Anolis sagrei: one gene and its partners. The protein of the gene in region 2 purifies or fractionates together with the protein of the main gene of each other region. This does not show direct contact. Links are inferred from orthologs where the notes say so. Each region holds a gene or a part of one and is shown on either strand. Other genes may lie near its edges. The genes, in order: RPRD2, POLR2J, RPAP1 and CTDP1.

The links.
Region 1: the proteins of POLR2J (region 2) and RPRD2 purify together in Homo sapiens (affinity purification with mass spectrometry; 3 studies listed by BioGRID and IntAct, with this or other methods). This does not show direct contact. The link is inferred for Anolis sagrei from reciprocal best matches to the Homo sapiens genes POLR2J and RPRD2.
Region 3: the proteins of POLR2J (region 2) and RPAP1 purify together in Homo sapiens (affinity purification with mass spectrometry; 5 studies listed by BioGRID and IntAct, with this or other methods). This does not show direct contact. The link is inferred for Anolis sagrei from reciprocal best matches to the Homo sapiens genes POLR2J and RPAP1.
Region 4: the proteins of POLR2J (region 2) and CTDP1 purify together in Homo sapiens (affinity purification with mass spectrometry; 4 studies listed by BioGRID and IntAct, with this or other methods). This does not show direct contact. The link is inferred for Anolis sagrei from reciprocal best matches to the Homo sapiens genes POLR2J and CTDP1.

What each region holds. Positions count from the first base shown.
Region 1 is NC_090032.1:6,032,942-6,041,049, reverse strand, and holds the start of RPRD2 (regulation of nuclear pre-mRNA domain-containing protein 2), read right to left. Parts: upstream 3,312-8,108; 5' UTR 3,258-3,311; coding exon 2,975-3,257; intron 1-2,974.
Region 2 is NC_090031.1:24,263,051-24,271,015, reverse strand, and holds the start of POLR2J (DNA-directed RNA polymerase II subunit RPB11-a), read left to right. Parts: upstream 1-4,805; 5' UTR 4,806-4,861; coding exon 4,862-4,914; intron 4,915-7,193; coding exon 7,194-7,283; intron 7,284-7,744; coding exon 7,745-7,919; intron 7,920-7,965. Other genes in the region: ras GTPase-activating protein 4-like, read right to left, coding at 25-92. UniProt on the Homo sapiens protein: Core component of RNA polymerase II (Pol II), a DNA-dependent RNA polymerase which synthesizes mRNA precursors and many functional non-coding RNAs using the four ribonucleoside triphosphates as substrates.
Region 3 is NC_090021.1:288,351,228-288,359,544, reverse strand, and holds the start of RPAP1 (RNA polymerase II-associated protein 1), read right to left. Parts: upstream 3,129-8,317; 5' UTR 2,976-3,128; intron 2,552-2,975; 5' UTR 2,507-2,551; coding exon 2,317-2,506; intron 1-2,316. UniProt on the Homo sapiens protein: Forms an interface between the RNA polymerase II enzyme and chaperone/scaffolding protein, suggesting that it is required to connect RNA polymerase II to regulators of protein complex formation.
Region 4 is NC_090024.1:76,170,702-76,178,744, reverse strand, and holds the start of CTDP1 (RNA polymerase II subunit A C-terminal domain phosphatase), read right to left. Parts: upstream 3,193-8,043; 5' UTR 2,853-3,192; coding exon 2,596-2,852; intron 1-2,595. UniProt on the Homo sapiens protein: Processively dephosphorylates 'Ser-2' and 'Ser-5' of the heptad repeats YSPTSPS in the C-terminal domain of the largest RNA polymerase II subunit. This promotes the activity of RNA polymerase II.

The DNA of each region.
Region 1 (8,108 bases), on a different chromosome or scaffold from region 2:
GATAACAATACAAGGCACGTAGACGGCGAAATATCTTTGACGAAAAACGGGCAACAGCAACAGCGTTGTCTGTAGCCTCCAACAATTCTTCCTCTGTACATAAGGCAGGGCACAGTGGACAAGTATGCAAATACAGAGTTGTCTGTTCTGCTCCACAGTCACACAAGGTGTGGGATTCTTTTAAGGAGTCTTTTGATCTGCCCACTCCACTTCTGAGTCTATTGAGGGACTTCCAAGTGGCCCATTCTTGGTTTGCCCCTGCTGGCTGTTAGGAATTGTGGGGGTTGGAGTCCAAAATCCCTGGAGGGCCCAAGTTGGCCCCTGCCTGCCCTAGAGGGTTAAAGAGGCATATATTTTGGACTTTGGAAGCATATATTTGGACTTTGGAAGCATATATTTGGACTTTGAAGGCAGATATTTGGACTTTGAAGGCAGGTATTTGGACTTTGAAGGCAGGTATTCGGACTTTGAAGGAAGATATTTTGGACTTTGGAGGCAGTAACCGACAACAACAAAACTAGATGATGGGAGCCAAAGGGGCAGAAAAGGAAGCCTTTAATACCCCCCCTCTCGCCATCCGTCTCCCAATCTCTTCCAAAACATCAGCACCTCCCAACAAAGGATTCCCCCCAGGCAGAAATCAGCCAGGCTTTGAAGCTGCAAGACTTTGCAATGCTTGCCTAGTTTCCAACAAAGCCCTTCAACCTCTGAGGATACCTGCCATGGATGTGGGCGAAACGTCAGGAGGGAATGCTGCTGGAATATGCCCAGACAGCCCAGAAAACTCATAGCAACCCAGTGATTCCAGCCATGAAAGCCTTTGACAACACACAGAAAGAATGAATAAAAAATAATAACATAATATTCTGTTATTATTATATCTAATAATAAGGATTTCCCCAGGCAGGAGCCTGGCTTTGAAACTGCAAGGCCATTCAATGCTAATCAAGGTGGCCAATTACAACATTCATATACCTCAAGCAGATGAGAATTCTTTTTCCCGCTTTGGACATCATTCCACAGGGATATATATAAACCCCATTTGCCTAGTTTCCAACAGGCCTCACAACAATATAATAATAATAATAATAATAATAATAATAATAGAGAGAGTGAGGATGCTTGCTTGCCTAGTTTCCAACAGACCCCCCCCCCCCTTCAACCTCTGAGGATTCTTGCCATGGATGAGGGCGAAACGTCAGGAGGGAATGCTGCTGGAACGTGGCCAGACAAACCTGAAAACTCACAGCAACCCAATAATAATAATAATGGGTTGCTGTGAATTTTCAGACCTGGGAACCCCACAACCTCTGAAGATGCCTGCCATGGATGTGGGCGAAACATCAGGAGAGAATGCTGCTGGAAAAGTGGCCAGACAGACCTGAAAACTCACAGCAACCCAAAGGTAAGGCTGTTTTGGGGATTTGGCCAACAGACCTGACAAACTTTGGGGATGCCTGTCATAGATGTGGGCAAAACATCAGGAGAGAATGCTTCTGGGACATGGCCAGAAAGTCCAGAAAACTCACAACAAGCCACACATTAATTCTGCAATATAGATGCAGCCTACCCGGTGAGATGTCAACATGCAGTTTGTTGGTGCAGAAAAAAGGGACCGTTTATATTATTATTATTATTATTATTATTGAAATGTCGTCAGGAGGGAAGGCTGCTGGAATGTGGGCAGAGGTACCTGAAAACTCACAGCAACCCAATTATTATTATTATTATTATCACAATCATGTCACAACCCTATTATTATCACAATTATATCACAGCAACCTAAAACCAATCAAATCATTTATTTCGGTCATTGACCAGCACAGGAAATAGTCACATTTCCATACAAACTTGGTATGTTTGGTACATTAAAAATATAAATATAACTACAGAAGCACAATATGGGTGAGGGAGCAGAAGGGGAAACAGGGTAAAAACATACAATGCCCAGATCCATCACCAAATTGTAGATTCAGGGAAGAAGATTACTGGGTTGCTGTGAATTTTCAGACCTGGAAACCTCACAACCTCTGAGGATGCCTGCCATAGATGTGGGCAAAATGTCAGGAGATAATGCTTCTGGGACATGGCCAGACAGCCAGGAAAACTCACAGCAACCCAATAATAATAATAATAATAATAATAATTGGTTGCTGTGAATTTTCAGACCTGGAAACCTCCCAACCTCTGAGGATGCCTACCATAGATGTGGGAGAAACGTCAGGACAGAATGCTGCTGGAAAAGAGGCCAGACAGACCTGAAAACTCACAGCAACCCAATTATTATTATTATTATTATTATTATTATCACAATTATGTCACAACCCTATTATTATTATCACAATTATATCACAGCAATTCAATAATAATAATAATAATAATAATAATGGGTTGCTGTGAATTTTCAGACCTGGAAACCTCACAACCTCTGAGGATGCCTGCCATAGATGGGGGAGAAACGTCAGGAGAGAATGCTCCTGGGACATGTCCAGACAGCCCAGAATACTCACAGCAACCCAATAATAATAATAATAATAATAATAATAATAATAATAATAATGGGTTGCTGTGAATTTTCAGGCCTGGAAACCTCACAACCTCTGAGGATGCCTGCCATAGATGGGGGAGAAACGTCAGGAGAGAATGCTGCTGGGACATGTCCAGACAGACCTGAATACTCACAGCAACCCAATAATAATAATAATAATAACAATAATAATAATAATAATTACTGTGAATTTTCAGACCTGGAAACCTCACAACCTCTGAGGGTGCCTGCCATAGATGGGGGAGAAACGTCAGGAGAGAATGCTGCTGGGAAAGTGGACAGACAGACCTGAAAACTCACAGCAACCCAATTATTATTATTATTATTATTATTATCATCATCACCCTGATATCCTTGAGTGTGCCTCGTGGGCGGGGCCTGCGGCCTAGCGTCCTGTCCGAAGCCCCTCATTTTCCTAGGCCTCACCTCGTCGCAGGTTCTGGATCCAGTGCCGGACGATGGCGTGGTGGTGGCGCTTGTTCTCCAGGCACCACGACGACAGGCCCTGGATGGACTCCATGGTGTTGGTCACGGCCTGCAGCTTCCTGTCCAGCGAGGCCTCCAGCGAAGACGACGAGGCGGAGGAGGAGGAGGAAGGCGCCGCAGCCGCCGAGGAGGAGGAGGAAGACGAGGACGACGAGGACGACGACGAAGAGGAGGAGGAGGAGGCCTTGCCGCCACCGCCGGCCGCCATTTTGCCTCCCCTCATCGGTCGCACAAGCAACGCCGCTGAGGGGAGGGGAGAAGACGCGTCAGTGCGCAGGCGCGCTTTTGGAACCCTCACTGCGCAGGCGCGGGGGACGGTTCAATCCCTTTCTCGCACACGCCTCCATCCCCGCGCAGGCGCATTGGCCTCACAAACTCTCAAGCGCTGAAGGGAAAAGTAGGCCCCGCCCCTTTTCGCAAGCTCCGCCCACCCTTATCTTCCATCCCCGCGCAGGCGCACTGGCCTCCCAAACTCCCAAGCGCTGAAGTTATACCAAAAGGAAAAGAAGTAGTCCCCGCCCCTTTTCGCAAGCCCCGCCCACCTTCTCTTCCATCTCCGCGCAGACGCACTGGCCTCCCAAGCGCTAAAGTTATTCCAAAGGGAAAAGTAGCCCCCGCCCCTTTTTGCAAGCCCCGCCCACTCCTCGCTTCCATCCCCGCGCAGGCGCACTGGCGACCAAGAGTCTCCCAAGCTCTGAAATTATTCCAAGGGAACAGAAGTAGTCCCCGCCCCTTTTCGCAAGCCCCGCCCACCCTTATCTTCCATCCCCGCGCAGGCGCACTGGCCTCCCAAACTCCCAAGCGCTGAAGTTATTCCAAAGGGAAAAGAAATAGGCCCCGCCCCTTTGCAAGCCCCGCCCACCCTTAGCTTACATCCCCGCGCAGGCGCACTGGCTTTCCAAACTCCCAAGCGCTGAAGTTATTCCAAAGGGAAAGATATAGGCCCCGCCCCTTTTCTCAAGCTCCGCCCACCCTCCGCTTCCATCCCCGCGCAGGCGCACTGGCCTCCCAAGCGCTAAACTTATTCCAAAGAGAAAAGTAGGCCCCGCCCCTTTTTTCAAGCCCCGCCCCACTCCTCTCTTCAATCTCCGCGCAGGCGCACTGACGAGCAAGAGACTCCCAAGCGCTGAAGTTCTTCCAAAGGGAAAAAAAGTCGGCCCCGCCCCTTTGCTCAAGCTCCGCCCACCCTTCGCTTCCATCCCCGCGCAGGCGTACTGGCGAGCAATATTAAATTTAATATTTTAATATTTTAGTATTTGCCATCTTAAATATTTCAATAGATTAAAATGTTTTTAATATTTAATTTTAAATAATATTGGATTTAAATATTAAAATATTAAATTTAATAAACAATTTTAATTTTTAAAATATTTAATACAAATATTTCAATAGATTAAAATGTTTTAAAATATTTCTAGTATTTCCCATATTTGATGTTTTAATAAATTGAAATAATATCAAAATATTCAATTTAATAAACAATATTTAATTTTAAAATATTTAATACAGGTAGGAAAATGCACATTTCAAAAGGAAGAACAGCAATTTCCCCCCCGTTAAAATTTTCTATCTCTTCCCAATGGAAAATTTATCTTGCCCATTGCCCCGCCCACTCCACCAATCAATCATTTAGCCTGGCAACCACGCTACGCATGCGCAAGAGATCCCAACCACGTGCCCAAGGAGGCCAAAGGAACGATTGCTCAGGCTGACGAAGCAGCCAAAAGGTGGCGTTTGCCGGACCCTTATTGGTGGAACCTTGCCCGCCTACTTTCGGAGTAACCAATAGGAAAGCGGAATGAGAACGCGCTCCTCCAATGAGGCTGCGAATAGAACGCGAGAATGAAAAGGAGGCGGCATTGAACTCAAACGCAGCAGTGGGAAGAAATGAAACAACTGCGCATGCGCTGCTAACCTAACCCAGCTGTGCTTTAGAGCATGCGCGGACTAAAGACTCAAAAAAGGGGAGGACGCCTCTGCGCATGCGCAAAACTCCAGTTTCATATAGTATTGAGCCATAGTGGTGTCAAACCGCATCAATCTTCCAGTGTGGCTGAACCCAAATTTACGAAAACACGTGAAAAAGATCAGAGTGCACTTTTGAGGCTCCTTCAAGACTTTTTCCCCCAATTGTACTAGTGTTTATTTCTCAATCTTTTGTTTTTTTAAAGGTAAACAATAGTAAAAATGTCTGTTTTTAAAGGATCTATGAATCCTAGAGTTGGAAGAGACCTGGTGGGTCATCTAGTCCAACCCTATTCTGCCAAGAAGCAGGGAAATCACATTCAAAGCACTCCTAACAGATGGTCATCCAGCCTCTGTTTAAAAGCTCCCAAAGAAGGAGACTCCACCACACCCTGAGGCAGAGAGTTCCACTGCTGAACAGCTTTCACAGTCAGGAAGTTCTTCCTCGTGTTCAGGTGGAATCTCCTTTCCTGTCGTTTGAAGCCATTGCTCCATTGCGTCAAATTGATGGCGAAAGGCATCTTCCAATGAGTAGAAGGTGCGAAATAGAACATTAGGCCCCATCTACACTGCCATATAATCCTGTTTCAGAATGCAGATTGAACTGGATTATATGGAAGTATTTATGACATTTATACCTCACCCGAAGGGTATGTATGCATGTACATGCAATATATTATATTATTAGCATAGCACAGTATTAGTATTATATATTACTATATTGTCCCATACCACTATACTCAATATTATTAAGAATATTACAATATATATTAGCATAGCACAATCTTAGTATTATATATTTCTATATTGCATCATACCATTATACTGCAGTATTATTCGTAATATTACATATTATATTGTATTACAATATTTTGATCAATATTATATATACATACAATATATTATTAGCATAGCACAATACTTGTATTATATATTACTATATTGCACCATACCATTATACTGTTGTATTATTAGTAATATTACATGTGATATAAGATATATATTTAATTATTATATTGTATTATATACAATGTTATGATCAATACTATATGTACATACAATATCTTATATTATTAGCAATATTACATGTGATATAAAATATATAATTATTGTATTATATTACAATATTTTGGTCAATATTATATGTAAATATAATATATTATATTATACTATATTGCTATATTATATATAATATATTATACTATATATATTATATATATACTATATATTATATAATATACTATATAATATATATAATATATTACTATATTGTGCGATACCACTATACTGCAATATTATTAGTAATATTACATGTAATATAAAATACATTATTATAGTATTATATTGTATTACACTATTATGATCAATATTATATGTACATACAATATATTATATTATTAGCATAGCACAACCTTAGTATTATATATTACTATATTGCACTATACCACTATACTGCAATATTATTAGTAATATTACATGTAATGTGAAAAATAAAATTATTTAATTGTTTTACAATATTATGATAAATATTATATGTACATACAATATATTATATTAGCATAGCACAATATTAGTATTATATATTGCACTATACCACTATACTGCAATATTATTAGTAATATAACATGTAATATAAAATATATAATTGTTGTATATTATTACTATATTGTATTACAACATAATGATCAATATTATATGTACATAAAATATATTATATTATTTGCATAGCACAATATTCCTATTATATATTACTATATTGTGCTAAACCACTATACTGCAGTATTAATAATAATATAACATGTAATATAAAATATATAATTATTAATTATTATATTGTATTACAATATTATGATCCACTATACTGCAATATTATTAGTAATATTACGTGTAATATAAAATATATAATTGTTATATATTATTATATTGTATTACAATATTATGATCAATATTATATGTACACACAATACATTATATTATTAGCATAGCACAATATTCATATTATATATTACTATATTGTGCTAAACCACTATACTGCAGTATTATTAATAATATAACATGGAATATAAAATATATAATTATTATATTATTATATTGTATTACAATATTATGATAAATATTATGTGTACATACATACAATATATTATATTAGCATAGCACAATATTAGTATTATATATTACCCTATACCACTATACTGGAATATTATTAGTAATATTACATGTAATATAAAGTGTTTAATTGTTATATATTATTATTATATTGTACTACAATATAATGATCAATATTATATGTACATACAATATATTAGCATAGCACAATATTCATATTATATATTACTATATTGTGCTAAATCACTATACTGCAGTATTATTAATAATATAACATGTAATATAAAATATATAATTATTATATTGTATTACAATATTATGATCCATATTATATGTACATACAATATATTATAATTGTTAGTGTAGTCTCATCTCATCCAGTTCAATCTACACTGCATATAGATGGGGGAGACCTTCAGGATGATAGGATCTGTAGTCAAAAAAAAAAAAAAAACCATACCCAGAAGCCCTCCCCTTTAGTTTCTGACATTGCTATAGTATATGTTCTCAGTCTCCTTAATGCCAAGGAGGAAGCATTTTTTTCCCAAGAAAAGACAGCCACATGGTTTACTTTTTAAAATCTTTTTACCCAAAAAAACAACAACAACCCCAAAGTTTGTTATGTAATGATAGGATATGGGCTAAATCCCCAGTTCCTACTCTTTGCATTGAAAGATGACATTCCAAGAACTGCCCCAGAGCACTTAACTGTCCAACAAAGCTACTGGAAAAGAAAAGAAAAAAAGGAATGGGGGGGGGAAAGCAAATATAGGATCTGCATATCTTCAAAAATAGGTTCAGGAAGAAGAGATGACCAATCGATTCTCGTTGGCTGTTTCCTCCAACAACAAAGCCCTACTTCCAATGGGATTCCTTTTAAAAAATATTTCTTTTTAATGAGGAACTCAAGAAGGAAGTGTGGAAAGAGGAAGAACGCGGTGGGATGAACTCCAAGTCCCATGTTTCAGCTGAGTTCCCGAGGCTCGAAAGCAAAGGAGCTGAA
Region 2 (7,965 bases):
GACAGGCGCCCTTTAGGCACTTACATGTCCTTGGCCGGCAGGTTCTTGGCTTCCACGACGCGGATGAAGAGGGAGCTCCTGGGCCCGGCCATGGCCAGCCCACCACCGCCAAGCAAGGCAGCCAGACAGCCAGACAGCAACCCACTTGCGCCCCGGTCCCCAACTGGCGGCGCTCCCTTCCGCGCCTCCGCCAATCGGGAAGCCCCGCGGGAGGAAAGGGGCGGGGCCGGGGAAGGGGGAGCGCCCCATTGGCAGAGCGCCCGGCAGCCGGGATTGCCCTCTTCTTCTTCCCCGGTCTCTGAAGGCATCCCGGCGCCTTCTTCGCCCTCTCTCTCTCGGCTTCCATCCATCCTTCCTTCCTTCTTTTTCTTCCTTCTTTTCTTCCTCTCTCCTTTCCTTTCTTTCCTTTCCTTCCATCCTTCCTTTCATTTCTTTTCCTTGCTTCTTTCCTTCCTCCCTTTTTTCCTCCTTCCATCCTTTCCTCCCCTCCCTCCTTTCCTTTCTTTCCTTCTTTCCTTTCCTTGCTTCTTTCCTTCCTTACTTCCTTCTGGCTTTCTTTCCTTCCTTCTTTCCTCTCCTCCTCCTTTCCTTCCCTTCCTTCTTTCCTTCCTTCTTTCGTTCCTTTCCTTCCTCCCTACCTCCTTTCCTTCCTTCCTTCCTTCCTTCTTTCTTTTCCTTGCTTCTTTCCTTGCTGTCTTCTTCCCTCCCTACCTCCCTTCCTTCCTTCCTTCCTTCCTTCCTTCCTTCCTTCTTTCCTCCCTTCCTTTCCTTGCTTCTTTCTTTCCTTCCTTCCTTCTGGCTTTCCTTCCTTCCTTCTTTCCTCCTTTCCTCCTTTCCTTCCCTTCCTTCTTTCCTTCCTTCCTTCGTTCCTTTCCTTCCTCCTTACCTCCTTTCCTTCCTTCCTTCCTTCCTTCCTTCTTCCCTCCCTACCTCCTTTCCTTTCTTTTTTTCCTTCATTCCTTCTTTCCTTCCTTCCTTCTGGCTTTCCTTCCTTCTTTCCTCCCTTCCTCCTTTCCTTCCTTCCTTCTTTCCTCCCTACCTCCTTTCCTTCCTTCCTTCCTTCCTTCCTTCTTTCCTTTCCTTGCTTCTTTCCTTGCTGCCTTCTTCCCTCCCTACCTCCTTTCCTTCCTTCCTTCTTGGCTTCCTTCTTTCCTTTCCTTGCTTACTTCTTCCCTCCCTACCTCCTTTCTTTCTTTCTTTCCTTCCTTCCTTGCTTCCTTCTTTCCTTTTCTTGCTTACTTTTTCCCTCCCTACCTCCTTTCCTTTCTTTCTTTCTTTCCTTCATTCCTCCCTCCTTTCCTTCCCTTCCTTCTTTTCTTCTTTCCTCCCTCTCTCCTTACCTTTCCTTTCCTTGCTTCCTTCTTTTTCCTTCTTTCTTTCTTTCCTCCCCTCTTCTCATATCTACCCCTTTTCTTTCTCTCCCTCCTTTCTTCTCTTCTTTTCCTCTTCTCTTCTTTCTTTTGTTCCCTCCCCTACCTTTCCCTCTTACCTTCCTTTTCTTTTTTCCCTTCCTTTCCTTCCTTTTTTCCCTTTCCCTTTCTTTCCTCCCTACCTCCTTTCCTTCCTCCCTTCTTTCCTTCCTTTCTTCCTTCCTTGTTTCCTACCTATTTTCCCCCTTTCTTTCCTTCCTTCCTTCCTTCTTTTTTCCATCCTGGTGCAATTTGGGGCAGGATGAACCACAGATAATGGTGTTTGCAGCGCTTTCACTCACTGCCACAGACTGCGACCTCCACGAATGACGAACCTGGGCCAAACTTGGCGCAATAACACCCCCCCCCCATGACCCACTTTATGTCCTGATGAGGTTTGGAAGAGATTGTACCATGGATGATGGGATTTGCAGTACCTTCACTCACTAATGGGGTTAGACCCACTTTACATCTTGGTGAGGTTTGGGGGGAGGATGGACCACGGATGATGGGATTTGAAGTACCTTCATCCACTTCCAGAAAGCACTGTGACTCCCACAAATGATTGACCTACAACAAATTTGGGGCACAGAACCCCCCCCCCCCCCACACACACACACTTTACGTCCTGGTGAGGGGTAATTGACCTTGAATTCTGGGAGTTGTAGTTCACCCTTATCCAGAGAGCACTGAACCCAGCCGACAAGGGATCTGAACTTGGCACACAGAGACAACATGACTGTGCCTAAAGGTTAGGAGATGATTGTCTTTGAAATCTGGGAGTTATAGTTCACCTGTATTAAGTGAGGCGTTCAAACTCCACCAATGACAGATCTGGATCAAACCTGGCACACAGACCCAACACAGACAACTTTGCCTACTGGAGGGGTTTGGGGGTGATTGACCTTGGCATCTGGGAGTTATAGTTCACCCATATTCAGAGAGCCCTCTGAAGCCAGCCAACAATGAATCTGGACCAAACTTTGCGCACAGACCCAACTGTAAATAATGACAGACTTTAGGGAGGACTGACCCACAATTTTGGGAATTGTAGTTCACCCACATCCTTATGCATTTTCTAATGGGAGCATTCATAAAAAACAAAAGCAAAGGCGCTCTCCCGAGTGCCCAGGATGTCCTCGCTTTCCGGGGCTTAAAGTCCTCCAGATGTTGGCACTGCTGCTGGTTTCCAGAGTGCCAGATGCTGAGTGAATGGGTGGGTGTCCGGATTACGCAGAGCTCACGTCAGGCAGATCCGGTCAGCGGACAGCAAAGCCCATAATCCTCGAGGAGGAGGAGGAGGAGGAGGAGGAGGAGGAGGAGGAGGAGGGCCGCATCAGAATGGGGAAAGGCAGGAGGTCGGCTCTAGGCCTTCCACATCTGCATCTATTAAATAATAGGCAGAAAGATAGAGACATTGATTTCAAGAGACACATATTTGGCCTCCTATCTATCTATCTCTCTCTCTCTCTATCTATCTATCTATCTATCTGTCTCTTTTTTGAAATCGAATCTGGAGAGATTGACTTTTAGGTTGATTTAGCATTCCCCTGCTTCACCAAATAGATGTATCTATAACTATCTATCTATCTGACTGCCTATCTGTCTCTCTAGCTATCTACCTATCTGATTATATCTATCTATCTGACTGCCTATCTGTCTGACTATTTGTCTGTCTATCTATCTATCTGATTATATATCTATCTGACTACTGATCTATTTATCTATCAATCTGACTATATATCTATCTGCCTAACTATCTATTTATTTATCTATCTGACTATCTATCTACCTAGCTATCTATCTATTTATCTAACTGACTATTTATTTATTTATTTGCATTATTTCTGCCATGCCCATATCAGCCAGAAGGCGACTCAGAGCGGCATACACAGTCGGCACAATTCGATGCCATAAAAATGCATACATTGATAAACAAAAGTAACCATTATAATGCATTTAAACATAAAGATAGGGCATAATAACAATTTTAAAAACAAAAAAACTATGTCCTCTCATTCAAGTCCTTATCCGTTCCATCGTCTTGGACCGTTACTGGGTCATTTTCCAATTCAAGTTTGTCTATTTATTCGGAGGTTCTAAATCTATCAATCTATCTGTCTATCTATCTATCTGACTATTTATTAATCTATCTGACTATCTATTAATCTATCTGACTATCTATTAATCTATCTGACTATCTATCTATCTATCTATCTATCTGACTGTCTATCTATCTGATTATATATCTGACTATCGACCTATTTATCGATCTATCAATCTGACTATATATCTAACTGCTTAGCTATCTGCCTATCTATCTATCTGACTATTTATCTGACTATCTAGCTATTTATCTATCTGACTGCCGATCTATCTATCCATCTATCCATCTATCTGACTGTCTATCTATCTATCTGATTATATATCTGACTATCAATCTATTTATCTATCTACTTGACTGTCTGTCTATCTATCCATCCATCCATCCAATCCATCCATCTATCCACCCATCCATCCATCTATCTATCTGACTATCTATCTATCTATCATCTATCTATCTATCTATCAGATAGACAGTCTGATAGATAGATAGATAGATAGATAGATAGATAGATAGACAGACAGTCAGATAGACAGTCAGATAGATAGACAGCCAGGGAGTGTGATAGCTAGAAACACATAGATAGATAAATAGATAGATAGTCATGTATAAAATTAGATAAATAGATAGATAGATAGATGTTCAGATAGATAAATAGATAGTCAGATAGATAGGCAGTCAGATAGATAGGCCAATAGATGATCTATATCAGATGATCTATATCTATATCAGATAGTCAGTCTATCTATCTGACTATCTATCTGACTGTCTATCTATCTATCATCTATTGGCCTATCTATCTATCTATTGGCCTATCTATCATCTATTGGCCTATCTATCTATCTATTGGCCTATCTATCTGACTGCCTATCTATCTATCTATCTATCTATCTATCTATCTGAACATCTATCTATCTATCTATCTATCTATCTATCTATCTATCTATCTATCTATCTATCTATCTATCTATCTATCTATCTATTTATCTATGTGTTTCTAGCTATCACACTCCCTGGCTGTCTATCTATCTGACTATTTATCTGACAATCTATCTATCTGTTTTTATGTCTGTCTACAGGCATGTAGCCGGGGGGGGGGGGCTCGGGGGGCTTCAGCCCCCCCCCCACCTCCGAAATCCTCTCACAACTGAAGTCCCAAAGACCTGGAGGGAGGGAGGAGGGAGGGCCCTGACCTGACTCCACGAAGAGCCTGCAGTACCGCCGGGGGCCTCCAGAGGGGGGGCGCGCGCAAGGAAGGAAGGCCAGAAGAGGCCTCACGCTCGCGCCCTTAGCGCGGAAGAACCGGAAGGGGCGGAGCCGGAAGCGCCAGGAAAGACCAGCGCCAGCCATGAACGCTCCTCCGGCCTTTGAGTCCTTCTTGCTCTTCGAAGGGGAGAAAAAGTGAGTTCCCTCCACCGGGATAATAGGGGCCTCCAGAGACCACCCAGGCCCACCCCCGCTGTGGCCAGGCAGGCGGGGCACCATCCAACCCGTCCCGACAGATGGCCGGGCTGTCTCTGTGGCAAAACTACCAGAGAAGCGGGCCTAAAGGCTGTACCTTGATAGAGATAATTATTTCATTCATATTTCATAGTAATATATATATATATATATATATATATATAGTATTATTATGATATCGATGTATTCTTATTTTATATTGTTATATTTTAATATTTTAAATTGTTATATTAATATTATATATATATTGTAAATTCTTATTTTATACTATATTTCTATAATTCTTATTTTATATTATAACATGCACATCTTTATTATTCTAAATTGCTATATTATATTATTTATTCTTATTTTATATTATTTTTATAATATAATCTATATACTTCTTTTATAGTATTACACCTATATCTTGTTTTATAGTATTATTTTATGTTACTATGTATTATTTTGTATTATATATAATATATATTATTTTAAATTGTTTTATTATTTATCATATTATAAATTATTTTATTTATTATATATAGTCATATTATTTTTATATTATAATATATATATATTTCATGATATTACCCCTATATCTAGTATTATAGTATTCTTTTATATTACTGTTTATTATTTTATTATATATAATATATTATTTTAAATTGTTATATTATTTATTATATTATATAGTCTAGTTTTATATTTTATGGTATTATATATGTTATTCTTTTTTATATTATTATATATGCATATTACAATATAAATATATATGTCTTGTTTTACATCATTACTATGTAATAATAGTTATTTTAAATTTTGTTATATTATTTATGATATATTTATATTTTATTTTATAGTATTATATATTGTTTCTATTTTATAGTATTTTGTAGTATTAGAATATATATATATTATTTTATATTATTTATTGTTACATATTATTTTATATTATTCTTACATATACTCATATTCTTATTTTTAATATATATTCTTTCTATTCTTATTTTATTATTATATTATGTATATATTGTATATTATCCTATATAATTATTACTCTAAACTATGTTATATTATTTATTAGATTGGATATTATTTTATTTTTCTTTTATACATATACCTTCTTTTTATTTCTATAATATAAATATATAATTCTTATTTTAAATTAGATTATTATTATTATTATTATAACTTTATTTGTACCCCGCTAGCATCTCCCAAGGGATTTGATGCGGCTTACGACAGGCCGGAGCCCAACACAATACAACAATACAATACATAGCAAATTAAAACAGTTAAAGCAGAAAACAATAACAGTAGCAGTACAACAGAACATTATTAAAAACTGAGCCGGCCAGAGTGAGGTACAGGGTTAAAAAGTGCTGAAGTGTCGGAGGGATATGGGATTAAAATATAAGTGCAGTGTGCGGTGAGGGTGATCTTGACTCTACTAAAGTGCTTCTGGGCTTTGGTAGTGGGGGTCCTAATCTGAGAAGGCACGTAGGAACAGCCAGGTTTTCAGGTTCTTTCTGAAAACCGCCAAGGTAGGGGCCTGTCTGAGATTTTTCGGGAGGGCATTCCAGAGGTGGGGGGCCACCACAGAGAAGGCCCTGTCCCGTGTCCCCACCAAACGCGCCTGCGACGCGGGCGGGATCACGAGCAGGGCCTCTCCTGATGACCGGAGTGAGCGTGTGGGTTCGTAGACTGTGATGCGGTCACGCAGGTAGGGTGGTCCCAAACCGTTCAGGGCTTTGTAGGTAAGCACCTGCACCTTAAATTGGGCTCGGAAAATAAACGGCAGCCAGTGGAGTTCCTTAAACAGGAGGGTTGACCTCTCTCTGTAATGGGCCCCCGTTAACATCCTGGCTGCTGCCCGTTGGACCAATTGGAATTTCCGAGCCGTTTTCAAGGGCAGCCCCACGTAGAGCGCATTGCAGTAGTCCAGTCTAGAGGTGACATATTATTTGTGGTTTTATCCTTACCCTTTCCTATTCTATTCTTACTGTACATTATATTATTTATTATATATTATGTTATTATTCTTTTATATCTTATGACCATCTTCCTCATGTTGAGGTGGGATCTCTTTTCCTGCCATTTGATCCCATTCCGCCATTGGATCCTTATTTCAAGAGAAAGCTATCTCCTTAAAGTGACCTCTCAAATATTGTCTTCATATTGATACTGAGCTGTCTATATATGTGCCTGAGGCTTTTCCTGGTTTATTTTCCTTCCAGGATTACCATCAACAAGGACACCAAAGTCCCCAATGCCTGCCTCTTCACCATTAACAAGGAAGACCATACGCTCGGGAACATCATTAAATCGTAAGTAAAGAGGGGTCATGATGATGAGGATAAGACACCTGCATTTTGCCATCAAGCCTTTGGAAGCTTCCACATTTCACTAAGGATGATGATGATGACAACGACGATGGCTCTTGCATTTTGCCATGAAAGCTTTGGAAGCTTCCCCATATCACAGAGAATTAAAATTTATTTATTTATCCTGTCAGAAGCGAGTTGAAGGTACAGTTATAATGTATTTAAAACCACAAATTTAATAACTTGGCATTGTATTAAATGTAGTAGGTGGTCTGTGATATGAGGTGAGAGGGAAACCAACTGTCAGATGGAACTTTGTTTGTAACCATACTGTATACTTTGAGAAATAAAGCCCTTCCAGTCAGTCTGTGAGGTAATTTCTTCTCTAGAAAACAACAGATCAGGACAAAATGTCCTTTGAACAGAAGCCGGCCACTTGGAGTGCCTCTGGTGTTTCCTTGCAGGCAGCTGCTGAAGGACCCGCAGGTGCTGTTTGCGGGCTACAAGGTCCCCCACCCGCTGGAGCACAAGATCATCATCCGGGTGCAGACCACCCCCGACTACAGCCCCCAAGAGGCCTTCACCAACGCCATCACCGACCTCATCAGCGAGCTCTCCCTCCTCGAGGAGCGCTTCCGCGTAAGGGCTGGATTGGGTGGCCTTTGGGGGGCCCTTCTAAGTCTAT
Region 3 (8,317 bases), on a different chromosome or scaffold from region 2:
GCTACAGCCATGATTGTCATCTATTTAGCCCAATATGAGAACAAACTGTATATGCAACCAGGAAATCTGAGTTAGGCCAAATGTATAATATAAAATATAATATAAACCTTTATTTATATCCCACCACCATCTCCTTGAAAAGACTCAGGGCGACTCACAAAAGCACTCAAAAGTGCAACACACATAAAATACAACAGTACATGACCGTATAAAACAATGACAACATGAATTTACATAACAATTTTACATAAAACATCATATAAACCCTTATTGATTTAAAATTCCGTAGCAGATATAATTCTGCTTCCTAAATTATATTTTTTCATTCAGGGTGTGGATATTACACTGAGAACAGGGTTAAACTCTGTCACCAATTAAGGGCAATAGCAGAAACTAAACGAGATAGCCCAATGGTCACACTACTCATACAATACGGATAGGGTTTAATACAGATGCCATTGGGGCAGCACTATCCACTGTAGCTTCAACTGAGTTGCATGATGGCATTATAGCACATCACATGTAGACAGTGCTACAGTCACAATATAAATAATAATCTCCAGGCAAATAAGGTCTTGCTGTTTTGTTTAAATTGTACTATTTTGGAAATAGCAACCATCTACAAGCCTCCTCTACTAGTTATTTGTTATGTATATCATTGTGATTGTTTACTATAGTGTGTGTATGTATTGGTATGCAGTTTTTCCCTTAACTCTATGTTGTTAGTGGTTGTGGGAGGGACTACAGACCATGTGACCCGGATCTTAGAATGTTCAGAGTGAAATTCCACTTTAGAATGTGTTTGAATCAGAAGTCAGTTGGAATCAGTTAAGTCAGTTCAGACTTGAGTCAGTTGGAAGTTAGAAGTCAGTGAAGTATGTTGATGTCAGTTAGAGCAGGAATATAGTCAGTATGCTGCAGTGAGATGTTCAGTTAATATAGGAGTCTGTTTGCAGCAGATGAGCAGTTAAAGTACCCCCAGTAGAGCAGTTTTGAGTATAATTCAGTTAACATTATATGCCTTTCCAGAATAGGATAAACCCCAGCACTATGTCCCAGTAGCACTTTACTAGAGTCTCTTGCACAGGGCACTTGCCCAGAATTCCAACATACCACCTCTCACACCCAGCACTTTTTAATCTGGACCCTTCATTGGCCCGGCCCTGGTTTTATTGCGTAATAGTGTAATGTTTTGTTATTGCTTATGTTTTTAATTTGCTTTGTATCGTATTGTTATTGTCTATTGTTGTTGTGTTGAGGCCTTGGCCTTTGTAAGCCGCATCGAGTCCTTCGGGAGATGCTAGCGGGATACAAATAAAGTTTAATAATAATAATAACATGAAACCAATAAGAAATGTAACTGTATGCTAAATACATGAGGAAGAACTTCGAACAGTGAGAGCTATTCAATAGTGGTACTCTCTGCCCCGGAGTGTGATGGAGGCTCCTTCTTTGGAGGTTTTTAAGCAGAGGCTGGATGGCCATCTGTTGGGGGTACTTTGAATGCAATTTTCCTGCTTCTTGGCAGGGGCTTGGACTGGATGGCCCATGAGGTCTCTTCCAAATCTATGATTCTATAAGTTCGTACGTAAATCAATTAGGTTAACTTTTAATGAAGACTGCTTACTTTTTGGTCTCTTGCAAGCATGATTAAAAGCAATATATTTTATGGGACAGTAGATATATTTTTCGGCAACTGAAATAACACTTCTGAAGATCTGCTATATATTTTGTGCATTGGCATATCTTTGCTGCCAACATTTCAAAGAGATAATCAGGTATATCAGTCTAACAGCTAAGAAACCTAATATGCCTTGCATTGATACTAATGGATATTTACCACTAAGGAGATGGTTGACTCAAGCAAGTTTTTAACTCTTCTCAAGAAGATCACACTTTTTAAAAAGTTACGATCTCCAACAAGGTCATGCCTTTCCAAAAAGCTTATGATTACTCCAAATAATGTGAATGCCAATTAATCTCCAAAAGGGTCACACTTCCAAAAGGGTTTCCTGGTTTTTCCCAATACTTACATACTTAGGCGATCGCTCATTGTCCGAGTAGGATAGTCTTCCGGGATCAGTGTACTGGTGGTGGGTCCATAGGTGACTGTGGAGCCCTATTCTTGATCTGCATTTTCTCCTGCAGTGAAGGCATTGATTTCCCGGTCAGGGTTGGCTTGATGCGCCTTCCTCTTGGCACGTTTCTCTCTTTCGCCCTCCATTCGTACCTCTTAAAATTCTATAGCACTGCTGGTCACAGCTGACCTCCCAATATACTAAGACACCAACATAAAATAACTTACAACAGACTTACCATCCAACATCACCACATCTCTGCCATGCTGCAATGGGGGTCTGTCATCATCTCCACTTCCCAAATCCCCTTTCCTTTTATCTGCTTTCTTGACTATTTTCACTGCTGGGGAAGCTTTCACTGAGAGGAATTCATTCTGGAACTGCAACAAGTCCGCTTCCGATTCACCGGGCTTGGGTCTTGACAACATCTTCCTCCTGTTGCCTTCTTGTGCGGAGCGTATAGATGACTTGATCTACATTTTTAGAAAGGGAAGAGTTTAACATCCTTCATTTTCACAAACTTTGCATCTACACAAGCACATAATCGGGTTCTAAGAATTCAAGGGGGGGAAAACTTAGTTTCTATTATAGGAAACGCAAGTTCCAGAAGTAGACATTCACACAGGTTATCTGCAACCTGGCATGGGCAAACTTCGGCCCTCCCGGTGTTTTGGACTTCAACTCCCACAATTCCTAACAGCCTACCGGCTGTTAGGAATTGTGGGAGTTGAAGTCCAAAACACCGGGAGGGCCGAAGTTTGCATATGCTGAAATACATGAGGCAGGAGGAGGGGCGCCATGCTCATCCCTCCCAGCAGAGCCAGCCATGCCTCTGGCGGCCGAGAGCCTTTTCCTTCTGTGGGCAAGAAGAACCTCCTTCCCTGGTGGTCTCTATACCTCGAGGTCGCCCGAAAGAGGGAACGGCAAGCCTTTGGGAGGCCAAACGGCGCCTTCTTTCTGTCCCTGCTTCCGGGCTCTTCCAGGCCTCGCCTCTCCTTCCGCCTCCAGTGAGAAGGGGCGGCTTCCTCTCAGGCCTAACTCCGCCCCCGCCGCCATTTTGGACTCAGAGCCAGCCTCCCTCTGGAGAACGAAGGTCCTTTTAACTCCCAAGGCTCAATACTATGGGACCCAGCGACGTGTAGTTTGGTGAGGCTCCAGAGAAGGCGCCTCACCTTGTGAAAGTACACCTTCCAGGTTTCCACAGCATTGAGCGTGGCGGTGAAAGAGGAGTCCAATGACAGCCCTTCTGCTGCAGTATAAACACTCTTTTCCCCACACTCTGCTCATCTAGCAGTTTTTGGACTTCAGCTCCCAGCATGCCTTGTCACAAGCCAAGGCAGCTGAGGCTTCTGGGAGTTGAAGGCCAAAAGAACCTGGAGGACTAAAATGAAGTTCAACAGGGACAAATGCAAGGTACTCCACTTAGGCAGGAAAAAACGAAATGCAAAGATACAGAATGGGGGACAATACTTGGATCGAGAGCAGTATGTGTGAAAAAGATCTTGGAGTCCTCGTGGACAACAAGTTAAACATGAGCCAACAATGTGATGTGGTGGCAAAAAAAAAGCCAATGGGATGTTGGCCTGCATCAATAGGAGCATAGTGTCTAGATCTAGGGAAGTAATGCTACCCCTCTATTCCGCCTTGGTTATTATTATTATTATTATTATTATCTTTATTTGTACCCCGCTAGCATCTCCCGAAGGACTCGATGCAGCTTACAAAAACAGATGCGGTTGGACCATACCTGGAATATTGTGTCCAGTTCTGGGCATCACAATTGAAGAGAGATGTTGACAAGCTGGAATGTGTCCAGAGGAGGGCGACTAAAATGATCAAGGGTCTGGAGAACAAGCCCTATGAGGAGCGGCTTAAGGAGCTGGGCATGTTTAGTCTGAAGAAGAGAAGGCTGAGAGGAGATATGATAGGTAAAGGTAAAGGTAGTCCCCTGACATTAAGTCCAGTCATGTCTGACTCTGGGGTGTGGTGCTCATCTCCATTTCTAAGCCGAAGAGCCAGCATTGTCCGTAGACACCTCCAAGGTCATGTGGCCGGCATGACTGCATGGAGCACCGTTACCTTCCCACTGGAGCGATACCTATTGATCTACTCACATTTGCATGTTTTCGAACTGCTAGGTTGGCAGAAGCTAGGGCTGACAGCGGAAGCTCACACCGCTCCCCAGAATCGAACCTGCGACCTTTCGATCAACAAGCTCAGCAGCTCAGTGCTTTAACCCACTGCGCCACCGGGGGCTCCCTATATTTAAACTGTTACGTTTGTTCATATCATGATCTGATCACCATATTCAATATATCCCATATGCATGGGGATATTGGGGTAACGATACAAAAGGTTTGCTAGGGTAGACCCTCTTTCACTCAGACTCAGCCCCCCTGAAACAAACTCAGCTCCCCCCCCCCCCCCGCCCCGAATCGAAATCCTGGCTACAGGCCTGACATGAGCCAACAATGTGATGTGGCAGCAAAAAAAGCTAATGGGATTTTGGCCTGCATCAATAGGAACATAGTGTCTAGATCAGGGGTCCTCAAACTAAGTCTCGGGGGTTGGAAGCGGCCCTCGAAGGTCATTTACCCGGCCCTCGCTCAGGGTCAACCCAAGTCTGAAACGACTTGAAAGTACACAACAATAACAACAATTCTATCTCATCAGCCAAAAGTAGGCCCACACTTCCCCATTGAAATACTAATAATTTTATATTTGTTGAAATTGTTCTTCATTTCAATTATTGTATAGTTTCAAAGTGTTTTTGCACTACAAATAAGATATGTGCAGTGTGCATAGGAATTCATTCATGCTTTTTTCAAATTATAATCTGGCCCTCCCAACAGTTTGAGGGACTGTTACCTGGCCTTCTGTTTTAAAAGTTTGTGGACCCCTGGTCTAGATCTAGGGAAGTCATGTCCAATTCTGGGCATCACAATTGAAGAGAGATGTTGACAAGCTGGAATGTGTCCAGAGGAGGGCGACTAAAATGATCAAGGGTCTGGAGAACAAGCCCTATGAGGAGCGGCTTAAGGAGCTGGGCATGTTTAGCCTGAAGAAGAGAAGGCTGAGAGGAGATATGATAGCCATGTATAAATATGTGAGAGGAAGCCACAGGGAGGAGGGAGCAAGCTTGTTTTCTGCTTCCCTGACTAGGACACAGAACAACAGCTTCAAACTACAAGAAAGGAGATTCCATCTGAACATGAGGAAGAACTTCCTGACTGTGAGAGCCGTTGAGCAGTGGAACTGTCTGCCCCGGAGTGTGGTGGAGGCTCCTTCTTTGGAGGTTTTTAAACAGAGGCTAGATGGCCATCTGTCAGGGGTGCTTTGAATCCAATATTCCTGCTTCTTGGCTGGGGGTTGGGCTGGATGGCCCATGAGGTCGCTTCCAACTCTATGATTCTATGATTCTATGACTAGAACAGCATGGGCCCTCCCTCCATGTGTTTTGGACTTCAACTCCCACCATTCCTAACAGCCTCACGCCTGGGATCAGATCCTAGGATATAGGCCCTGTCTGGAAGTGCCCCCAGAATATCAAGACAGATAATCCACAATATCCGCTTTGAACTGGGTTATCTTAAGTCCACACTGCCATATAATCCAGTTCAATGTGGATTTTATACAGCTTTCTGGAAGAGGCCCTAGTCCACATTGCCATATAACCCAGTTCAAAGCAAATAATATGGGATTTTATACACCTATGTGGAAGGGACCAAAGCTGTTGGGATATAACTATTTCATGGAATTAATTAATGTGACATTCTCTCCTGACGTTTCACCTGCATCTATGACAGGCATCCTCAGAGTTTGTGAGGTGGCATGTATAGAATCATAAAGTTAAAAGAGACCACATGGGGCTTGTAGTCCAACCCCTTAACATGCAAGAAAATACAGCCAAAACAGCCCCGACTGGCCCCATTTACACTGCTATATACAATCCAAATTATTTGCTTTGTACTGGATTGTATGACAGTGTAGACTCATAATCCAGTTTATCTGAACAAGAGTGAGTCACATGTGATTCCATGTTTCTTTTTTGAAATGTTTTTCTTTCTAGTATAGTGTTTGAGGTGAAGGACATTTGAGATATTGGAATCTTATTCATAAAATATCAAGAATATCTGTCAGGCCTGAGGCTGTTAGGAATGGTGGGAGTTGAAGTCCTAAACACCTGAAAGGCCAAAGTTTGCCCTTGCCTTCTCTATACTGTAGAATGAATGCCTTTTTGACACTACTTAAACTTCCATGGCTCAATGCTCTGGAATCCAGAGATCTGTAGTTTAGGGAGGCAGCAGAAAGCTTTGGCAGAAGAGTGGATTGCTGTGAGTTTTCCGGGCTGTATGGCCATGTTCCAGAAGCATTTTCTCCTGACATTTCACCCACATCTATGGCAGGCATCCTCAGAGGTTGTGAGGTCTGTTGGAAACTAAGTGAAGTTTATATATCTGTAGAATTTCCAGGGTGGGAGAAAGAACTCTTGGCTGCTTGAGATAGGTGTGAATGTTGCAATTGGCATTGCATGGCCTTGCAGCTTCAAAGCCTGGCTGGTTGCTGACTGGGAGAATCCTTTGTTGGAAGGTGATTAGCTGGCCCTGATTGATTCATGTCTGGAAGTCCCCTGCTTTTTTCGAGTTGCTCTTTATTTACTGTCCTGATTTTAGTTTTTTTAAATACATTGGTAGCCAGATTTTGTTCATTTTCATGGTTTCCTCCTTTCTGTTGCAATTGTTCACATGCTTGTGGGTTTCAATGTCTTCTCTGTATAGCCTGAAATGGTAGAGTGGCCCAACATTTCTGTGTTCTCAAATAATATGGTGTGTCCAGTTTGCTTCATCAAGTGCTCTGCTATGACTGATTTCTCTGGTTGAAGTAGTCTGCAGTGCCTTTCATGTTCCTTGATTCGTGTTTGGGAAATGCTGCCTTTGGTGGTCCCTATGACTTGTCCACAGCTGCATAGTATACAGTAGACTCCTGCAGAAGTGAGAGGATCCTGCTGAATGTAGCATTCGTTGGATTTTCTTAGTAGGTCTGTAGATATTTTGTATGTTGTGTTTCTTCATCAGTTTCCCAATGCAATCAGTGATTCCCTTGATGTAGGGCAACAACACTTTTTCCTCTTGGTGGATCTTTGTCTTTATTCTCGTGGCTTGTTCTTGCTCTTGCAGCTCTTCTGATGTCTGTGGTTGAGTATCCATTGGCCTGTAAAACCCAGTTTAGGTGGTTCAGTTCACCTTGGAGGCGGTGGGGTTCATAGATTATTTTTGAATGGTCTGCCAGGACTTTAATTGTGCTTCGTTTTTTGACTTGGGTGATGGTTGGAGTTTTTTTGTAGGTATCTATCCATTTGTAGGTTTTCTGTTAACTGTGCAGCCCAATTGTTGATTGGGTTTACAGATGACTAGGACATCTAAAAATGGCAGTTTAATGTATGGTCGAAGGCTTTAATGGGTGAAATCACTGGGTTGTTGTAGGTTTTTCGGGCTATATGGCCATATTCTAGAAGCATTCTCTCCTGGTGTTTCACCTGCATCTATGGCAAGCATCTTCAGAGCTTGTGAGGTCTCATAGATGTAGGCGAAACGTCAGGAGAGAATGCTTGTAGAACATGGCCATATAACCCGAAAACCCTACAACAATCCAATGACAGTTTTCCTCCATTTTCTTTTCCCATGGTGAATTGGATGCTGTTGAGGTGGTCCAGGAACTTGTTTAGTTCTTCTTTTCTATGGTTCCAAATAGTGAAAGTGTCATCCACATATCTGAACCATGTAGTGGGCTTTTTTGTTGTGGTTTCCAAGGCTTATTTTTCAAAGTGTTCCATGTAGAAATTTGCTATGACTGGTTCCCCATGGTTATTCCATCTTTCTGTTTATAGAATTCACTGGTAGTACCTTATGGTGAGGCAATGGTGAAACAGGAATGGCCAGAAATTGACCAAAATGATTGGAATGTATATAAGAGTTATTATGCATGCCATCATACAAGCAAATACCAAATACCAAAACCAAATACTATGAGCAACAGCATTAGAATAAATGTATAAACAAGGGCCTTCCAGACAGCCCTATATCCCAGAATATCAAGGCAGAAAATTCCACAATATCTGCTTTGAACTGGATTATCTGAGTACACACTCAGATAATGTGGGATTTTCTGCCTTGATGCTCTGGAATATAGGACTATGTGGAAGGGCCCCCTTTCCCCACTTGTTATTCAACCTTTGGTGT
Region 4 (8,043 bases), on a different chromosome or scaffold from region 2:
TTAGCATTACTTCATAAAATACTTTTGAACCTAAGATCTGACTCTGCAATCCCAAGCCATCCTGAAGAATAGAAGCCTATTCCAGCATGTAAACTCCTTAACCAGCAGAAACTTACATGTGACTACATGTAAGTTTCTGCTGGTTAAAGAGTTTAATTCTGGTACTCTGCTATAAAGTATTTATGGTGGAATCACCCCACCTGAGTTATTTTTGAGTCTAACACAGTGTTTCTCAACCTGGGGGTTGGGACCTCTGGGGGAGTTGTGAGGGGGGTTTCAGAGGGGGCTCCACAGACCATCCGAAACATATATTTCTGATGGTCTTAGGAACCCCTTTGACAGAAAAGACTGAAAATATCTCCACCTGTCCTCTTCTTTTTTTGGTGTTGGGGAACTACAATTCCCAGTATTCAAAAACAGCCCCCTCCAACCCCACCAACATTCAATGGTGGCCATGTAGGTAGTGTGCCAATTTTAGTAAACATCCATTGTGGGCTGGGTTCAGAATGCTTTTTGATTGTAGGTGAACTATAAATCCCAGCAACTACAACTCCCAAATGTCAAGATCTATTTCACTCAAACTCTACCAGTGTTCACATTTAGGCATATTAAGTATTTGTGCCAAGTTTGGTCCCGATCCATCATTGTTTGAGTGCACAGTGCTCTCTGGATGTAGGTGAACTACAACCAAAACTCAATGTCAATGGCCACTAAAGTCTTTCAGTATTTTCTGTTGGTCAGGGGAGTTCTGTGTACCACATTTGGTTCAATTCCATCGTTGGTGGAGTTCAGAATGCTCTTTGATTGGGGGGAGGGCTGATATTGTCATTTGGAAGTTGCATGGTTGCTGTTCATTCATTCAGTCGCTTCTGACTCTTTGTGACTTCACGAACCAGCCCACGACAGAGCTCCCTGTCGGCTGTCACCACCCCCAGCTCCTTCAAGGTCAAGCCAGTCACTTCAAGGATGCCATCCATCCATCTTGCCTTTGGTTGGCCCCTCTTCCTTTTTCCTTCCATTTCCCCCAGCATAATTGTATTCTCTAAGCTTTCCTGTGTTCTCATTATCTGTCCAAAATACTTCATCTTTGCCTCCAATATCCTTCCCTCCAGTGAGCAGTTGGGCTTTATTTCCTGAAGTATGGACTTGTTGGATCTTCTTGGGGTCCAAGGCACTCTCAGAATTTTCCTCCAACACCACAATTCAAAAGCATCTATCTTCCTTTGCTCAGCCTTCCCTATGGTCCAACTCTCACATCCGTAGGTGACTATGGAGAATACAATTGCTTTTACTATGCGGATCTTCATTGCCAATGTGATGTCTCTACTCTTCAGTATTTTATCGAGATTGGTCATTGCTCTCCTCCCAAGAAGTAAGCGTCTTCTGATTTCCTGGCTGCAGTCTGCACCTGCAATAATCTTTGGACCTAGAAATACAAAGTCTGTCACTGCTTCCATGTTTTCTTCCTCTATTTGCCAGTTATGAATCATTCTTGTTGTCATAATCTTGGTTTTATTGATGTTTAGCTGCAGCCCAGCTTTTGCACTTTCTTCTTTCACCTTGATTAGAAGGCTCCTCAGCTCCTCTTCACTTCCAGCCATCAAAGTGGTATCATCTACATATCTAAGGTTGTTAATGTTTCTTCCAGCAACTTTCACCCCAGCCTTGCATGCTTCAAGCCCTGCACATCGCATGATGTGATCTGCATACAAGTTGAATAGGTTGGGTGAGAGTATACAACCCTGCCGTACGCCTTTCCCAATCTTGAACCAGTCTGTTGCTACTTGGTCCTTGTACAGATTCCTCAGGAGCGAGACAAGGTGGCTTGGGATCCCCATACTACGGAGAACTTGCCACAATTTATTATGATCCACACAGTCAAAGGCTTTAGAATAGTCAATAAAACAGAAATAGGTTGGGTGAGAGTATACAACCCTGCCATACGCCTTTCCCAATCTTGAACCAGTCCGTTGTTCCATGCTCAGTTCTTACTGTTGCTACTTGGTCCTTATACAGATTCCTCAGGAGAAAGACAAGGTGATTTGGTATACCTATACCACCAAGAACTTGCCACAATTTATTATGATCCACACAGTCAAAGGCTTTAGAATAGTCAATAAAACAGAAATAGATGTTTTTCCTGAAACTCCCTGCCTTTCTCCATTACCCAGCGGATACTGGAAGTTGTAGTTGCTGGGATTTATAGTTCACCTACAATCAATGAGCATTGTGAACTTCACCAAGGATAGAATTGGACCAAAATTCTCCCACAGAACCCGCATGAAATACTGTTTTCTGATAGTCTTCGGCGCCCCCTCTGACACCCCCTCGTGATCCCTCCCAGGCTGCGAAAGGCGGAGGTAGGGGGAAGGAAGCTGGCTTCCTTCTCCAGAGTCAGGGCGAGCGCGAGAGGGCGGGGGAGGAGGGGCGGGCTGATGCCGTTCTTGGCGCCCTCCCTCCCTCCTCCTCCTCCTCCTTCCTGCGCCAGGGATGGGGCGAGTGCTGTGGTGCTTGCTCAGATGAGCTGCGCGGCGAGGCCTAGTCCCGCCCCGGCTGCCCTCCCTCCCTCCCTCCGCTCCTCTCCTCCGGACTCACCCGGGCGGGATGACTTGTCCCGGCCGCGCGCACAGCTCCCGCACCACGCCAGGCCGCTCCGCTTTGACCTTCCGCTCCGGGCCCCGCGCCTCAGAGGCCGCGATAGGCGCGCACACCGCCAGCACCGAGCCGATTTTCACCGCCGCCCCGGCTGAGACTTTCCACTCGAGGAGCCGCAGAGGCTGCGGGCCGGGGACCCGGATCTCCGTCACTTCAGAAGCCGAAGCGGCGGCAGCTGCTCCAGGGTCTTCCTCCATGGCCTCCTAGGCCGGGCCCGTCCGACGCGGGGTCGCTATGGCAACGGCCGCCTCAGCGATAAGAACCGAATGCCAAACGGCAGCTCCCCCCCCTCTTTCCTCCCCTCCCCCTCTTTTTCAAAAAAACAACAACAACACGAAGAAGTAGTCACGAGCAGCGCAGCGGACGGAGCGCGAGGTCAAGACTCTGCTGCGCAGGCGCACGGCGCCGCCGCTGCTGCTCCGTCCCTGCTGCCTTAAAGGAACAGCCGCACCAAGGCGAGAGGAAGGCATCGCAGGTCTGACGATGGAAAGTTTTAAGCCACGCCCTTCCTGCTTCGCGCGCTGGCGCTGGTGACGCAACGGGGCCCGAGCCCTCTTCCCCACCCCTCCGCGTGGGCTGCATAACAGACGAGCCGGTGGGACGCGCATGCGCGGCAGAGTTTGTGTCCCAGCTTTTAAGCCCTGGCTAATGCAGTTTGAACACCACATTACAGGGTGGGGGTGGGTGTTGAAACTTTTTTTTAGCAAATCATGAAGAGTAGTTTGATAACACAACAACAACATTTTTAATACAATCCAAAGACCCTTATTGCTCTGTAAAAGGTATGCAAAGTTAGTAAGGCCAAAAATAGCCAAAATGGATTAAAACACATGACGTGGGTGGAATTAACAGCAGATAAAACTAGCCCCAGCAAACAAGAGTCCTTTGTCCCACCCTGGTCATTCCACAGATATATAAACCCTTTTCCCTAGTTCCAACAGATCTCGCTACCTATGAGGATGCTTGCCATAGATGCAGGCGAAACGTCAGAAGAGAATGCCTCTAGACCATGGCCATATAGACCAAAAAAACCTACAACAACCCAGCAGATAAAACTGATTAAACATGGATTAAAACTTATAACCAGCATTTAAGATAGCAATGACTTAGGTAAAAGACTACAAAGGGTAACTGGCATGTTTCATTTAAAGAAGTTTCTTCACATTCGGAAAAAAACTCTCAATCACAGACAAGATATGCTTCCAGTGCATTTGATGGTTTTTCTGCAGGTGCAATTTCATAGACTTAGCATGGGGATTTGGTTAACCAGTTAAAATTCATGAGTTAACCAGGTTGCTCCCTCCCTATGAGTTCCTCTCACATATTTATACATGGCTATCATTTCTCATCTCAGCCTTCTCTTCTTCAGGCTAAACATGTCCAGCTCTTTAAGCCGCTCCTCATAGGGCTTGTTCTTCAGACCTTTGATCATTTTAGTCTCCCTCCTCTGGACACATTCCAGAGTCCACAGCAGACAAGATCACTCTGCTGGCTGTTGTATTGGATCACTCATTTGCTTTCTGGATTTTTGAATTAAAACCTTTTAAAGACGTGGAAGGTTGAATCCGTGGATACAGAATTAATGGACAAAGAAGGGTGATGCTCCCTGAATGACGGATTATGAATTTTAGCAAAGTGACCTGTGGCAATCTCATTTTCCCCATATTCTGTTTACTGGATATGGGAAGCCAAAGCTTTTCACAGTGGGTTATTGTTGTTTATTTGTTCAGTCGCTTCCGACTTTTCATGACCTCATGGACCAGCCCATGTCATGACCTGAAGCTACCAGTTTTCAAAAGTTCTCTAATAAAACATTAAGAAAAGGGTCATTCAGCTGTTATTGGACAATTCCCTCATTTTATATTAGTTTTGAATTTTCTATAAAATATAAAAATTCCATTGTGGAAACAGTCCAGTTGCAGAAGGTATTGTATTTTCTTCCTTGGAGCTCCGGGTCTTCTATTCCTTCTTGCTGTCTCATCATTGTACAGTAGACTCTCAGTTAACCAGAAAACAAGCAACTGGAGTTGTCAAGCAAACGGCAAAGGTTTGTTGACTGCTGTTTAACTAAAATTGCATACTGCATTGACAAAGCTGTGTTTTTATAATACCATTTTATTTATTGCGTTTCAAAGGCATTGCATACATAAATATAAAATTGATAAAAATAGAAGGAGCACAATCAGCGAAATAATTTTTGACCAAAACTGGGCAACAGCAACCACATTGTCTGTAGCGTTAAACAACTTCTCCTCTGTACACAAGGCAGGGCATTGTGGACAAGCAAACAGGTGCAGAATTGTTTGTTCTGCTCCACAGTCGCACAAGGTGGAGGATTCTTTTAGGTAGTGCCATTTTGCCAGGTTGTCTTTTGATCTGTCCACTCCACTTCTGAGTCTGTTCAAGGACTTCCAAGTTGCCCATACTTGGTTTGCTCTTGGAGGGAGACCCTCATGGGGGACCATCCAATTGGGATTTCCTGGTTTAGCTGCCCAGAGGGATGCTCTTGCTGTCGCTGAGGGAACAGTAAGATACAATATTATAATATTATAAAATTGTGTTACATTAAGTCAGATGTGTCTTTCTTTCAATAGTACTATCATGGCAACATAGAGTTCATGATGTGGTAAAGTATGAGGTATAGTATTATTTAGCCCAAGTTTTAATAGAAACTTTCAAGCAGTCAGAAACTACACTTATCCAGCATCTATCAGTCCTCATTGAGTGCCCTTTAAATGAGAGTCTGTTGCATCAGTTTGGGATCTCGTTTGTGTTAAAGGGCTACATAGATGCATTTTTTTTTGATCCACTCATTTAGAAATTTTGGAAACTTTCAAACCCAAAGTGTCATCATCATTATGAAAAAAATGTGCATAAGCAGATTATGCCTTTGAAGTTACTTCTAGTTGTCCTTGCCCTCTGTTGGTGCCACTCCTCTGTATTTATGGCAAATTACCATAATTCCAAAGATTTACATTCCATTTGAATTTTCATTCTTCCAGAAAAGCCAGTTCCTCTTGTAAAACAGCAAAATAGACTTTTCCACAGCAACTTTAAATATCTGATGGAAAATATACAACATTTGCACTCTAGTAATCTTTAACACCTTTAGGGAATTAACAGTTACTGTATTCAAGGTCTAAAGAAAACACAGGGAATATGTGCCCCTCCTATAATTCTTCAGCATAGGGTGAAATTTTTGGAAAGGCATAACCTTTTGGGAAAAGGATGACCATTGAGATCATAACCTTTTGGAAAACCAGACTCTTCAAAGCCTTTTGGAAGCGTGACCTTTTGGAGATTAATTGGCAGTCACTACCATTTGGAAAATCATAACCTTTTTGTAAAATAAAGATCTTCCTGAGAAAAACTAAAAACTCGTTTGAGTGAATTTTCTCTTTAGCGGTATATATCCACTAGTATTGCTTCAAGGCAATTAGGTTTCTCAGTTGTTAGACTGATATACCTGGTTATCTGTCTGAACTATTAGGAACAAAGATATGACAATGCACAAAATAAATGGAAGATCTTCAGGAGTGTTTTGCTTCAGTTGCCCCCCCCCCCCCCAAAATCTACTCTCCCATAAAATACATTGGTTTTAAATAATGTTCTCATGAGACAAAAAATAAGCAGTCTTTTAAAAAAATAACATAGTTGATTTTCTTACAAACTTTATGTATTCAGCATACAGGTACATTGTTTATCAGTTGAAAGTTTAAACAGTAAGTTCTCTAAGGCATTCTGTTTCATTCTCTTCTCTGTCTTATGCCTAATGCCTAATGAAAATGACTATACAATAAAATATAACACAACACAATACTATACTGATTTCTAAAATGGAGCCTCAGTATGAATAGGCCCAGATCTGATCACATGGTCTGCAGTCTCTCTCACAACCTCAAACAACATAGAGTTAAGGAAGCTGCATATCAAAACATACATATATAATACAGCAAGCAATCTGAATTATATACTGTACATAACAACTAGTATAGGAGGCTTGTAGAAGATTGCTATTTCCAACAGAAATAAATAAGGACTAATGTCAGTTGCAATCCAACATCTGGTGATTGTGTATTCCCCACTCTGGGTGAACCTTACTTTTCCACTGTTAAAACAATTAAAGTGTCTAATCCTACATGATCCATTGGGCTTCAGAATTGTTCCTTCATTGCAATTGGCCAACACCACATTTTCCAAAATGTATCCTTAAATGATTCCAAAACAATAGCATTTTTTCCTAAAATACAAATTGAAGTGTTTTGCAGGTTGAAACACCAAGATCAAATATATAAAATAATTCAAAAAGATCTTGATAAATGCCCACTTTACATCCCAACACAGACACACACCTTTGCTTTTCAAGAATATTCACATTTTCAAACAGCAGTGTCCTCTCCAATTGATTTTTATGTTCTGCTCCCACCTCAAACCTCTTTGCTTTGTAAGTGTTTTGTCTCTGATTTCTATCTGCAATTTTATTCTTGTAAGCAGATGACATCACTTGTATATCAAGCAATATATTTTATAGAAATACTTGTGATCATTAGGAGTGTACTTCTGCATTGAAGAATGGATACAGTTTTGTTATCAAAAAATTGACCCTTCCCTCCCCAAAAGATGGACTCAACATGAATTCTGAAATTACATATGAATTTTATTATATTTTTTTTACATTTTATGAAGTTTCAAAATATTGAAATAATAGCATTTTCCCCTCCCCAAAATGGAGTTGATTTCCAATAGTCCGGCCAGGGAACTACACATTCCAGAGGGGATGAGCTAACCTTTACCGATACAAAACCTGAAGGGACATGAAGAGGAAATTTGTGCCCACTAATCCCAGATAAAATGCCTGTCTACAAATTCCCTAACAAAAGGAGTTTCACTCATTGTTTCTAACTATCCATCTGTCTTTTAAAAAGGATCACTTATGAAACGTACATGGTTATAACCCACTGGGATCTCCAATATATGTTAATAATAATAACTTTATTTATAGCCCACCACCATTTCCCAAAAGGGACACAGGGCGGCTTACAAAAGCACTCATTAGTGCTGTAAACAGATAAGTACAACAATATACATAGGCATTTATAAAACAACAACAGTGTCAATAACACAAAACAAATATACATAAAAATGATATCTAAAACCCCCAACTAGTTTAAATTTTAAAAAATAAATGTTTTATATTAAAGAAAACTTATTTACTTAGGCGATCCCTCGTTGGACGAGTAAGATGGTCTTCCATGATGGGTTTCCTTGTGGATTCGTAGGTGGCTGTGGAGCCCTATTCTTTTTTTTCTTCTTTTTTTGAGATAGTTTTTATTGTGCGGATTTTTCATTTACAAGTAAAAACAAATATACAAAATGAGAGAAAGGAAA